Callithrix jacchus: one gene and its partners. The protein of the gene in region 3 interacts with the protein of the main gene of each other region in a biochemical or structural test. Links are inferred from orthologs where the notes say so. Each region holds a gene or a part of one and is shown on either strand. Other genes may lie near its edges.

Region 1 (3,650 bases), on a different chromosome or scaffold from region 3:
TTAACTCTGTCAGGGACTAGGGATTGTCAGAATCTACAAAGAGGTTCATCTGGAAGATAATTAAGTTCGGTAGATAAATAATAAGCATAGAGAATTGTTTGTTTAAAAATATCATTTTTAAAATGACATTTTTGAAACTTATTGCTAGCTAAAGTATAATATGGGACTTAGCAGGAGATAAAGTGAGTTGAGGCTTATCTTGGAGGCTTTTTAATATACTGCAAGTGCAAGGGAGTTTCAGAATATATTTGTCGGCTTTAAATTTTTGAGGAGTTAAGTAATATGGTCAGGTCTTTCTTTTACCATGTTATAGGTGGTAAGTGGTAGCTGGATTTGTATAAAACCATCGTTAGTGACCCTACTTGTCTTAGTCAGCTCAGGCTACCATAACAAAATACTGTACACTGGGTGTCTTAACAGATTTATTTCTCACCATTCTATAGGCTGGGAAGGTCAAGATCAATTCTTGATGAGGGCCTGCTTCCCGACTTAGAGGTGGCCAACTTTTCACTTTGTCCTCACTTGCCTTTCTTCAGTGTGTGCTCAAAGAGAGGGAAAGAAAAATTGCTCTTTCTCTTCTCTTGTTTTAGGCCACTAATTCCATTGTGAGGGCCCCAAGCTCATGACCTAATCTAACCCTTATTACCTTCCAAAGTCCCCATTTCCAAATATCACACTGGGGGCTAGGACTTAAACATATGAATTGTGCGGAGTAGGGGTGTGGGGGAAGACAATCAATCTGTAACACTAGTGTTAGAAGGAGTTACAGCATGAACAGTCTAGATAAGATGTTGAAGTCTTCAACCTATTTATAGCACAGGGAATGGAAAAAAGAGATTGATGGTCAGACTGACAGTAGAATGGACAGCATTCTATGAGTATTTATTATGGTGCAGATACTGAAAAAGGAGTCAAAAATCACTCTGAGCCTTCTTTTGTAAAAGAGAGGGTGTACTGAAAAAGTAAGCGGTTTTGGTAGGAATGAAAATGAATTCAGTGTTATCTTATTTGTGAAATGTCTATGCAGAAAGTGAAAAGAAATAGATTAAGCACAGTAGTGGGAATGAAGGGATATGCTTATGGATGAGCCAGTGAAATAGACTGGGAATGAAGAAAGCTGGGCAAGTGCAGTATTATGAAAAACCAAGGGAGGAAAGAGCTGAGATTATATAGGGACACTTAATTGGAAAATAACTGGTAGAAGGCATTTAAAATTTGCTGATAAATTGTGTAGAGATTTGTATAATGTAAGGTAAGTGCTTGATAATTGACTTCATAAATGGAATTACAGATAAATGGGTTACACATCCTCTGTACCTCCACCTATCCATTACCTCCTCCAACTCCTGCCCATAAAGTGGCAGTATGTAACATAAAAGCAATTACTTGAGATTAGAATATAAAGAAAGATTTTAAACTGATGTTAGTTTTTTTTAACCCATGTATTTGTAGTTCCCAAATTAAATTATTAGGAAGTAATTTCTAATTTTTCTGTCCCTCGGCTTTTACCATAGATAATTGGCCTTTTGAATGTTTTCACACCACAGAAATCCCTAGAAGAATTTCAAGATGTGTAAGTATAATAATTAAAATTTGTTAAGTTAATACATTTTTCTTAGATTGCTGCTGGACACTTTAGCTGTTCTCTTTTTTCACCCATGAAGTTACATAGTCATGGAGCTCATGGATGCAAATCTTTGCCAAGTAATTCAGATGGAGCTAGATCATGAAAGAATGTCCTACCTTCTCTATCAGATGCTGTGTGGAATCAAGCACCTTCACTCCGCTGGAATTATTCATCGGGTTAGTAGAAAAAAACTATCAGCATATACCCTTCGTTTTCTCATTAAGGTGAAATTCACATTAACAAAAGTAACCATTCTAAAGTGGCATTTGGTACATTCACAGTGTTGTACAACTACCACCCACATTAAATTCAAAAATATTTTTGTTACCCCACAAGAAGACCTCACATTTCTTTAGCAGTTCTGCATCTTTGTCCTGGCGTGATACCAGTCTGCTTTCTGTGTCTATAGATTTGCCTGTATATTTCCATTTATGTGAAATATAGCATGATGTTTTCAAGATTTCTCCATGTTGCACCATGTATCAATAGTTCATTCCTTTTTATGACTGAATACTATTCTATATACCAATTTTGTTTATCCATCCATTTATTGATGGACATTTGTATTATTTCTACCTTTCAGCTATTATGGATAGTGCTATGAAAATTCACGCACAAATATCTGTTTTCAGTCCTGGGTATATACCTAGGACTGGAACTGCTGGGTCATACGGTAATTCTCTAGTTAACTTTTTGAGGAACCATCAAACTGTTTGCACAGTGACTGCACCATTTTACATTCCTACTAGCAGTGTATGAGGGTTCCAGTTTCCTCACATCCTTGCCGGTATTTATCTGACTTTATAAATTCTAGCCATCCTAATGACTATGAAGTGGTGTTCCTTGTAGTTTTACTTTGCATTTCCCTAACGACTAATGTTGAGCACTTTTCATGTGCTTGTGGCCATTTGTGTGTCTTTGGAGAAATGTGTATTTAAGCCCTTTGCTCATTTTTAAATTAAGTTATCTTTTTGTCGTTACTGTAGCATTTCTTTATGTATTCCATGTTTGAAACCTTTATCAAGTATATAATTTGTAAATATTTTCTCACATTCTGTACGTTGTTCACTTTGCTGATGATTTCCTTTAATGCACAAAAGCTGCAATTTTAATGAAATACAATTGTTTCTTTCATCACTTGTGCTTTTGGTATGTGCCACTAAACGTGGCAGTTTAGTTGTGCCAGCACCATTTGTTAGCAGCTATCACCACCATCCATCTCCAGAATTCTTTTTATCTTGTGAAGCTGAAACTCTGTACCCACTAGACAGTAATTCCGTATTTTCCTCTGCCTGCAGCCCCTGACAGCCATCATTCTATTTTCTGTCTGTATGATTTTGGCTACTGTAAACACCTCATATAAGCAGAATCATGCAGTATTGGCCTCCTTGCACCTAGCTTATTTCACTTAGCATAATGAGCTGAAGATTTATCCATGTTGCAGCATATGTCAGAATTTTCTTCCTTTTTAAGACTGAATAATATTCCATTTATGTATATACCATACTTGCTTATCCATTCGTCGATCAGTGGACACTTGGGTTGGTTCTGCATTTAGCTGTTGTCCAAGTATCTGTTTGAGACCCTGCTTTCAGTTCATTTGGTCATATAGCCAGAAGCAGAATTGCTGTATCACATGGTGATTCTGTTCAACATTTTGAGAAACTGCCACATTGTTTTCCATAGCAGCTCTACCAGTTTACATTCCCACCAATGGTGCAGAAGGGATTCAGTTATTCTTCATTCTTACCAACACTTTTATTTTTTTTCATAGTAACCATCCCAATGGATGTGAGGTGGTTTCCAATTGTTTTTAAGTTGCCTTTTTCTAGGTTCTGAGTTCACTCGATTGCCATAAATCAAGTGAATATTTTCACTTGAATATTCAATTATTCCTCATCCTTACCAACACTTTATTTTTTCATAGTAACCATCTTAATGGGTTTGAGGTAGTTTCCTATTGTTTTTAAGTTGCCTTTTTCTAGGTTCTGAGTTCACTTGATTGCCATAAATCAACTCCATG
Region 2 (4,358 bases), on a different chromosome or scaffold from region 3:
GCTTAGCACATAAGAGGATGTCCAGTGTCTACTGCATGAAACATTCCTCATGTCCCACAACTGAATCCTGCTGTTTTAAAGAGCATGGTCATTAACAACTCCCAGAATGGAAGTTTTTTGAGTGGCAAGTATAACCAGATTGGGGAAGAAGGAATGGAAGTACATCAAACATCTTCTAAGGCCCACTCTGTAAAGTCTGATCCAAAGGAAAAGGAGTTCCTTGGTAGATTAAGTATGGTATGGGAGGTATGACTCTTTTTTTTTTTTTTGAGACGGAGTCTTGCTCTATCGCCAGGCTGGAGGGCAGTGGCACAATCTCGGCTCACTGCAACCTCCGCCTCCTGGGTTCAAGTGATTCTTCCGCCTCAGCCTCCCGAGTAGCTGGGACCACAGGCACGTGCCACCATGCCTGGTTATTTTTTGTATTTTTAGTAGAGACGGGGTTTCACCGTGTTGGCCAGGATGGTCTCGATCTCTTGACATCGTGATCCGCCCGCCTCGGCCTCCCAAAGTGCTGGGATTACAGGCGTGAGCCACCGCGCCTGGCCGGGAGGTATGACTCTTCACCGAACAAAACAAAAAGAAAGATCCTAAATTGCTGCTTAAGATCAAGCTTTATAACTTAGACTGTGCTAGACAAGATCCTGAGAATTTCAAGCACTTCTCTTCATTCTGACAAATGAAAAGTTTCAAAAACAAGATAGAACAAATTCCTGAATCAATTAAGCCTAGACACAATATTGATACAAAAGAAAATTCAGCAATAATTCAAAGAGAGGTCTTAAGTCCTTTTCCCATCTAAAATGGGTTCGTTCTGCTTATTAGAAAGTTTACTTTACTGGATATCAACATACAAGGTTTGAGGAGAATGGAGAGCATCAGAGAAATTCCTAACCACACAACTTAAGAGTTCCTAGAACACTCTGAGCCCTTCCCTGCTTTGGAACCTTCTTACACACTGTTCCCTCTGTCCAGAACCGCCCTTCAGTAAAAGACAGTTAGCTTTCCAGACACGCCTTCCTGACCATCTTATCAAGCGGACTGCCCTCTATTATCTTCTACCGCAAAACCCAGCTTGTTACTTTATTACTTTCCCAACTAGGAATTTTTCATGTTTAGCTAAATAGCCTTCCCTCCCCCATCTTCACAAGAGGATAACCTCCATCAGGGAAGAGACGGTCCAATTCTCTATAAACTCAGCATAAGAGTTCTATGCAGATGTTCAATAAATATTTTTTGAACCAAAAAAAAAAAAAAATTGTATCCAGTTATTTCAAACTGTCAGCTTCCCCACCAATAAAACAAACAAACCACCTTCTTTTTATAAGCTTAAGTCACCCATCTGGCACAAGAAATACAATCCTAAATTGTCATTTTGCCACTTCATTTCCCCCCCACTATCACCTAGATGGTAGCTGTCCCGTCAGGAAGCCAATCTTATACTTCATCAGTATAATGTGCTGTACAACACAGTGGCATCCAATAACTAATTCAATTTGAATGAATTATCTTAGGCCTGAACAGAAAGTGTCCTCTAAGCTCTGACATCATCCTGCCTATATATCTATCATTGGTTTTTATGTATATTAAAATTATCTCACGGCGAGGGTGACAGGGGTGTAAAGATAAACAAAATCATGTCTCTTCTTCCTGAATTATGGCATGCTCTATAAACATGAAATAGTCAATAAATGTCTGTTGAACATAACTAAATACAAGAAGCCCTTTAAGAAGAATGCAATCAAAAAGTAACCATGGTCACACCGACTACCAAAGGTACCCGACCCTTATTCTGATACCAATTCAACATAAGACGTTTGCTAAAGTTGTCAAGAGATTTCTGAAATTCCCTGTCTTAAAAATAGCATTACTACTCAAAATTTCCCAGTAAATTTAAGGAAATGGTCCCCAACAGGCTCGGGCCTGATATTTTCACAACACCCCCTGTCAAGAACCATACAGAGTTAATAGGCATTCCCAGTGGGCAAAGCCATTAATTAGCAGAGCTGCCTCAGATGTCCAGACACGACAGTATCACTTTGACCCCTGCCTATTTCCTGTATCTCTCTTTTTAAACCGAATTCAGTCTTCTGTTCCCCTCCTCCCCCTTCCTGCTAACACAGAAATCCCTGGCCTGGGACAAAATGCCTCTCCCAGGCCAATGGCAGCCTATCTACCTACCTTACAGGTGGCACAGGACTGAGCAACTCGCCCCCCACCCTCATCCCTTCCAGCGCACAGAAACCCTGCAAAAGTTTCAAAACGCAGGTTCCAAGAGGTCCGCCGAGCCCGAGGTCGGCTCGGTGGTCTGGCTCCAGCTGTGCCCGGCGAGAGCCAAGATGGCCCTGAGCCGGGCCCACTGCGGCGACCGGGCCGAGGGGCGCCGGCCGGGGCCGCTGTCTCCGCCGCCTACCTGAGCGGCGTCAGGGACGGGAGCCAGGCCCGACGCCCCTCCCGCCCCGCCGCAGCCCCGGGCCCGCGCGTTCCCGGAAACCGGGGCCAGGCGGGCGCCAGGTAAGCGGCGGGCGCGATGGGGGCGGCCGCGGGGGCGGTCCCGGGCCAGGTGGGCCCCGCGGGCCGGCGGGGAGCCCGGCAGGGCCCAGGGGCCAAGCGCAGGCAGAGGCCGAGGCCGGGGCCTGTGCGGGCCAGAGCCCGGATCCAAGCTGGGCCGGAGGCGGCGGGGAAGCCGGGGAGGGAGAGAGGGAGACGCCGGCGACTGCCGTAGCTTCCTCAGCCGGGTCCGGGGCCGTCCGCTGGGGCAGGCCGCGACGACGCGGGTTGCCGCGCGAGGGGGCCGGGGTCTCGGCGCGGCCGCGTTCCTTACCCTGCATGCTGCTGACGGCCGGGTGGCCCGGCGCCGGGGACCCTACGGGGCCCGGGGTGCCGCTGCCGCTGCCGCCCCCGGAGCCGCCGCCGCCGCTCGGGCTCGGAGCCGCCATTGTTGGGAGTGAAGAGCCGAGCGGCGCCGCGGCGGCTGCAATGCAGTAAGCTCGGCCTCTCGCACGGCCGAGGGGCGCGGCTTGCCCGCGTTGGCCCCGCCTCCAACACGGCCTGACACGCCTCTGGACACGCCCCCGCCCGAGCCGGAGGCGTATCCCGCGCCAGATGCTGAGCTGCAGAACCGCCGGTCTCGGGGTGCGGGACCTGGGAAGCCGAAAGCCGTGTTGGACTAGGGCTGCGGGCCCGCGGGGCCTAAAGTGGTTTGCAGAATTAAAAATCGTTCTGCATTTGTGGGGAGAGAGGGTACACAGCTTTCATCATTCTCATGGAAGCATGTGACTCCCAAAAGTCCCCTTTCTTGGAATCTCAGAACCCAAAGTCAGAATAGTAAAGCTGAAAAGGATCCCAGGGATCCCTTTCTCCTCCAGTCGCTCCACTTCCAGAGGGAAGTTACCTGTAGCTAGGTTACAGTCTGGAACTCCTCTTAAGCTCAATACCCCAACCCTCTACACTTCTCTGAGGGGAAGGGGGAGTCCTAAGCGGCACTAACCAAAGTGCTATCCATGGAGCCATCCCAAAACTACTGAATTAGAGGTTACATTTTAACAATACCGCCAGGTAATTCACATGTTCATTAAATGTGAGAAGCATATCTTTAAGCACCCAACACTCCAGCCTCCTGAAATAATATTATCTACATCACCATCTTCCGCTAAAGGCAGACTGGATTCCCGCCCCCAAATCCTTTACATCTTGTGTAAGACTAGCCATAGTCATTACTGTAAGTTACATAAAATGACAACCCCAAAAAACGATATGAGGTTTCTTCCATTGCTTTGCACAGAGACTTTTATTTTAGGAAGACAGCAACTAAACGAAGAAAACTAGTTCTCTGTGAGACTAGAATTTGAGAGCCAACCATAATGTACTTGAAATGGGAAGACACGGGTTTCTAGCCAGGCAGTCTTGCCTAAAATAGAATGACCAGCTATCCTACATCCCAAAGAATCTAAGCCAAGGAGATGGACATTTTCTGCCATTTAGAAGCATTGTGTATGCCTAGACTTCTTTCCCCAAACTCCTTCCACCCAGACCTTATTTGATGCTGAAAGTTCCTCACAGATTGTTAGAAAAGTATCCTAGGTCAAAATAGTTCTGCCTTCCTGTTCCAAACCCAACTTCATCCATCACCTTGATTGCTCAGATCCTAAAAGTCACTAGCCATAAAAGTCGAGTGGAGAGGCATTAAAGGCAAACTGAAGGGGAGAGCAGGTAGATGTACTTAAGTACTTAAGTGGGGAGCCTCCGGAATTCTCCTCCTTGTGCCTGGCTGACTGCTAAATATCTCCAAGTCCAGGTCTTATAAACATCACTGGATTCCCATCAGGAAATCAGTCGCCCACCCTGCTCTTTATGCT
Region 3 (3,650 bases):
TAATCTTGATCTTGGTTGTGAGCTTCATCACAGAGAACAGTTAATTTTTAGTTAACTTATATTTTACCTGCACAGTAATAAGAGTGGTGACTGTAAATGTAGGTAGCACTTTATTGTATTCCAATTTAAAAAACAAAATTAAGTCTGTACTTTAAAAAACTTTTACAATAGCAAGATATTTAATGAACTCTAGTTCATATCTAGTTTTTTTTTTTTCTGGTTTGAAAAGATCACCTTTCCCTGAATATTAAACAAAAATAATTGTAAAAATGAAAATACAGAACCATAATTTCCAAAAACGAAATGAATGGGCCAACAGTAAAATGCACAATGAGCCACAATTGTCCAAGTATTTAAAAATAAAGGCCAACTATGAGTCATAAAGAAGTTATCAACTTTTAAAAATATATGTATGTACTGCTACTCATAGCATACGCTGACCTAAAAGAGGCAGATACTGATTTTACAGCCAGTGACAAAAAATTTGAACGGAATTGCAGAACCCCCTGCTTGTGATCACTATATGAAATGGAAGAATAATTGAAATATTAAAATAGATCCTGAGCCCCTCAGCTGCTAATATTGCTGAAAAAGTGCTCCAAAAAAATAAAATTATGCTTCTGCCATTTAGTCATGCAAACTTGTTTTCCTGTTCACGTAGGGCCAGTTCTTTGAAAGGCACGGTTTACAGTTTCTGCACTAGTTGCGGGCTTTTGCATACTGAGCTTAGGTACAGATCATGATTTGTCAATCACATACTTAGGTAAGGGTTCCCCACTGGCCCTGTTCATAGCTGTTCAGTGGCATCATGGCCAGTAGAATATCGATGTGGTACCCCACAAGTTTTTTTTCTCTTGTTGAGCATCCTGTTTCTACTGTAGGTGATTTGTGTAATTGGCTACCATGTAGTACGAAAGACTGGATGCTTCAGTAGCTCTCTTGATGGAGGTCTGTCCTGAGGTTGAAGTTCTAAACAACGAAGAGCCACATCTCGTAAACCGGGAGACAGATGTGATGGGATCGATGGAGCAGTAGTTGCACTAGCAATCTGTGGAGAAAGAGCCAGAGTGTTAAAGCTTTGCACAACTGGAACTTCTGATACAGAAACACATGTGCATATACCTCATCATCCTTATATTCATATCCTGAACAGAGAGGAACTGAAGCAGAAGTGGGAGGACTTTCTGTTATCAATGTTCAGGTAGAGAAAGTATTCACTCCTATGAATTCTGTTTTCATATTCGGCCACAAAGATGGTTTGTTCTTATTGCACATTTTCTATTTCTTCAGCATAGACAGCTATTTAGATTAAGAAAGACTAAACCTGAATAGCCAATTTAGTACACAGAAAACACAACTGCATTGATTTTTTTCCTTCAATGTTGGACAAATTCTTAGTATCAAATGCATTATGAAGAATGACTTTTCAATAAATTTTACGTCTGAATACTTTAAACCCACCTACCCACTCCTAATCACAAGAAAACTCTTTCCTTTCCCTACCCCAATAATTTCATAAATGCTTTGGGTTAAAAAATGCAAAGTAATATAAAGAAAAATCCTATAAGGTCTGTGATGCTATATGAAGATATACTCAGCTGATACATACACATCTTAGACACCACAAAAAGGGAAAATACAAAACAAAAAATGAAATCCCTTTTCCTTTTCCCCAAATGTAACCACTTACTTCTGACGATTTGTGTTTTTGGTTTTTTTGTGTATGTGGAGAAAAAAAGGCCAATATATCTCACAGACTTTAGATTTTCTAAAATGTCTACAAAAGAGAAAACTTAATTTCGAGACAGGTTCTCTCTCACTGTCACCCAAGGTGAAGTGCAGTGGTGTGAACATGGCTCATTGCAGCTTTGACCTCCTGGGCTCAAACGATCCTTCCACCTCATAGCCTCCTGAGTACCTGGGAGCACAGGCAGGTGCTACTATGCTCAGCTAATTTTTTTTCTTTTTTTGTAGAGACAGGGTCTTGCTATGCCCAGGCTGGTCTCCAACTCCTGGGCTCAAGTTATGTTCTCACTTCAGCCCCCCAAAGTGCTGAGATCACAGGCATGAGCCACTGTGCCTGGCCAGGATCACTTTATGTATCTTGCTCTTTTCACTTATTAATGTATCTTGTAGCACTTTCTAAACACCAACAGCTTTATACTAAATTTATTTAATTTCTATATAGTTTTACATTGTGTGGATAATTTAATTACTTTCTTGAGTAGAGTGAATAATCCTGAACTTGGCACTTGGTACTTCTAGAGGTAATCTAGAGTAAATCCCTAACAATGGGCATAGCTGAGTCAAAGAATAAGTGCATTTAAATTCTGGCACTTATTTTTTTTGGGATTTTGCCAAAATCCAAATTTGGATTTGGATATTGCCAAATCGTTCTCTTAAAAAAATGTGCTACAGCAATTTTTACTACCATAAACAGGTATGTAAGTGTTTGAGAAAGCCGTTTTTCTGTCTCTTTGGGGTGCTTCCAAAGACCTCAAAGTATTTACTCCAAGTTAAGAAAACGGAAAATATTATAGTACAATTCTCTTTAAACTCTATCTATGAAGGAGAATGCAATGAAATCTGTTAAAATATGAATGGTGCCAATTTTAAAATCATTTCCATTTGTTTCCAGGGGCTCACCAAAACTCTGAAAATGACATCAAACTTTCAAATTGATCCTAGTTATGAGTATTTATCGAGCAACTTCTATTTAAGACTCTGGAAGGAAAAAAATGAAGCAGATGTGAATGGACCTCAAGGAGACTTAATTTGAAAAAGGAAGCAATATAGGAACTTAACTAGGATACAAGAAACAAAGTGTCAGAAACAAGTATGTACTAAAATGCTACAGAATCTGTGGAAGCAGTAAGAAGGGGGTGCCCAAGCAGGAGGAGCAGAGATATGGGCCTTAAAGCGATTAAGAATTTGATCCATGTGGAAAAGGGACATGGGAAGTCCGAAAGAATAGAGGAAATGAGGTAATAATACAAAACAGGTATTGTCAGAGAGGTGACTTAGGAGGTTATAGTAAGTGTGGGGAGGACTGGAGGAGGTGATGACAGGTGGAGTTGACTGTGTAGGTTGAGTGACTAAGGCCTAGGCATAATTTTGTTTATCTTCATGGTAATCCTATGAAGTATGTGCTTCATAGGATTCTTGCAGCAGTTTTACATATGAGAAAATGGAGGGTAGACACAAAAAATAATTTCCCTATGATCACAAGGCCATTAAGGGTTTAAAACTATGTCAGGGTGACTCCAAAGCCCATTATTTCAACTATCTCATGTCTACTGAAAAGTCTACTAAAAATGTCAACCATTACCTATTCTATGGTGGAAAAGCAGAGAGTGGATCTGTGAGTTATGAAAAGGTAGGTAGAACAGGATTTAGTAACTGAACTGACTTGGGTGTGAATTAGGCCAGGTGCAGTGGCTCATGCCTGTAATCCCAATACTTTGGGAGGCTGAGGTGGGCAGATCACTTGAGGTCAGGAGTTCAAGATCAGCCTGGCCAATGTGGTGAAACTCCATCTCTACTATAAATACAAAAATTAGCTGGGCGTGGTGGTGTGTGCCTGTAGTCCCAGCTACCTGGGAGGCTGAGGCAGGAGAATCACCTGAACTAGGGAAGCGGAGGTTGCAGTG

Evidence for each region.
Region 1: of the proteins of MAP3K1 (region 3) and MAPK8, one has a biochemical effect on the other in vitro, tested with the Homo sapiens proteins (3 studies listed by BioGRID, with this or other methods). The link is inferred for Callithrix jacchus from reciprocal best matches to the Homo sapiens genes MAP3K1 and MAPK8.
Region 2: of the proteins of MAP3K1 (region 3) and MAP2K4, one has a biochemical effect on the other in vitro, tested with the Homo sapiens proteins (7 studies listed by BioGRID and IntAct, with this or other methods). The link is inferred for Callithrix jacchus from reciprocal best matches to the Homo sapiens genes MAP3K1 and MAP2K4.

Annotation. Positions count from the first base shown.
Region 1 is NC_133513.1:40,480,870-40,484,519, reverse strand, and holds part of MAPK8 (mitogen-activated protein kinase 8), read left to right. Parts: intron 1-1,514; coding exon 1,515-1,573; intron 1,574-1,664; coding exon 1,665-1,803; intron 1,804-3,650. UniProt on the Homo sapiens protein: Serine/threonine-protein kinase involved in various processes such as cell proliferation, differentiation, migration, transformation and programmed cell death.
Region 2 is NC_133506.1:78,530,593-78,534,950, reverse strand, and holds the start of MAP2K4 (dual specificity mitogen-activated protein kinase kinase 4), read right to left. Parts: upstream 2,950-4,358; 5' UTR 2,940-2,949; coding exon 2,825-2,939; intron 1-2,824. UniProt on the Homo sapiens protein: Dual specificity protein kinase which acts as an essential component of the MAP kinase signal transduction pathway. Essential component of the stress-activated protein kinase/c-Jun N-terminal kinase (SAP/JNK) signaling pathway.
Region 3 is NC_133503.1:152,985,514-152,989,163, forward strand, and holds part of MAP3K1 (mitogen-activated protein kinase kinase kinase 1), read right to left. Parts: intron 2,837-3,650; exon of another isoform or gene 2,639-2,836; intron 1,049-2,638; coding exon 899-1,048; 3' UTR 1-898. UniProt on the Homo sapiens protein: Component of a protein kinase signal transduction cascade. Activates the ERK and JNK kinase pathways by phosphorylation of MAP2K1 and MAP2K4. May phosphorylate the MAPK8/JNK1 kinase.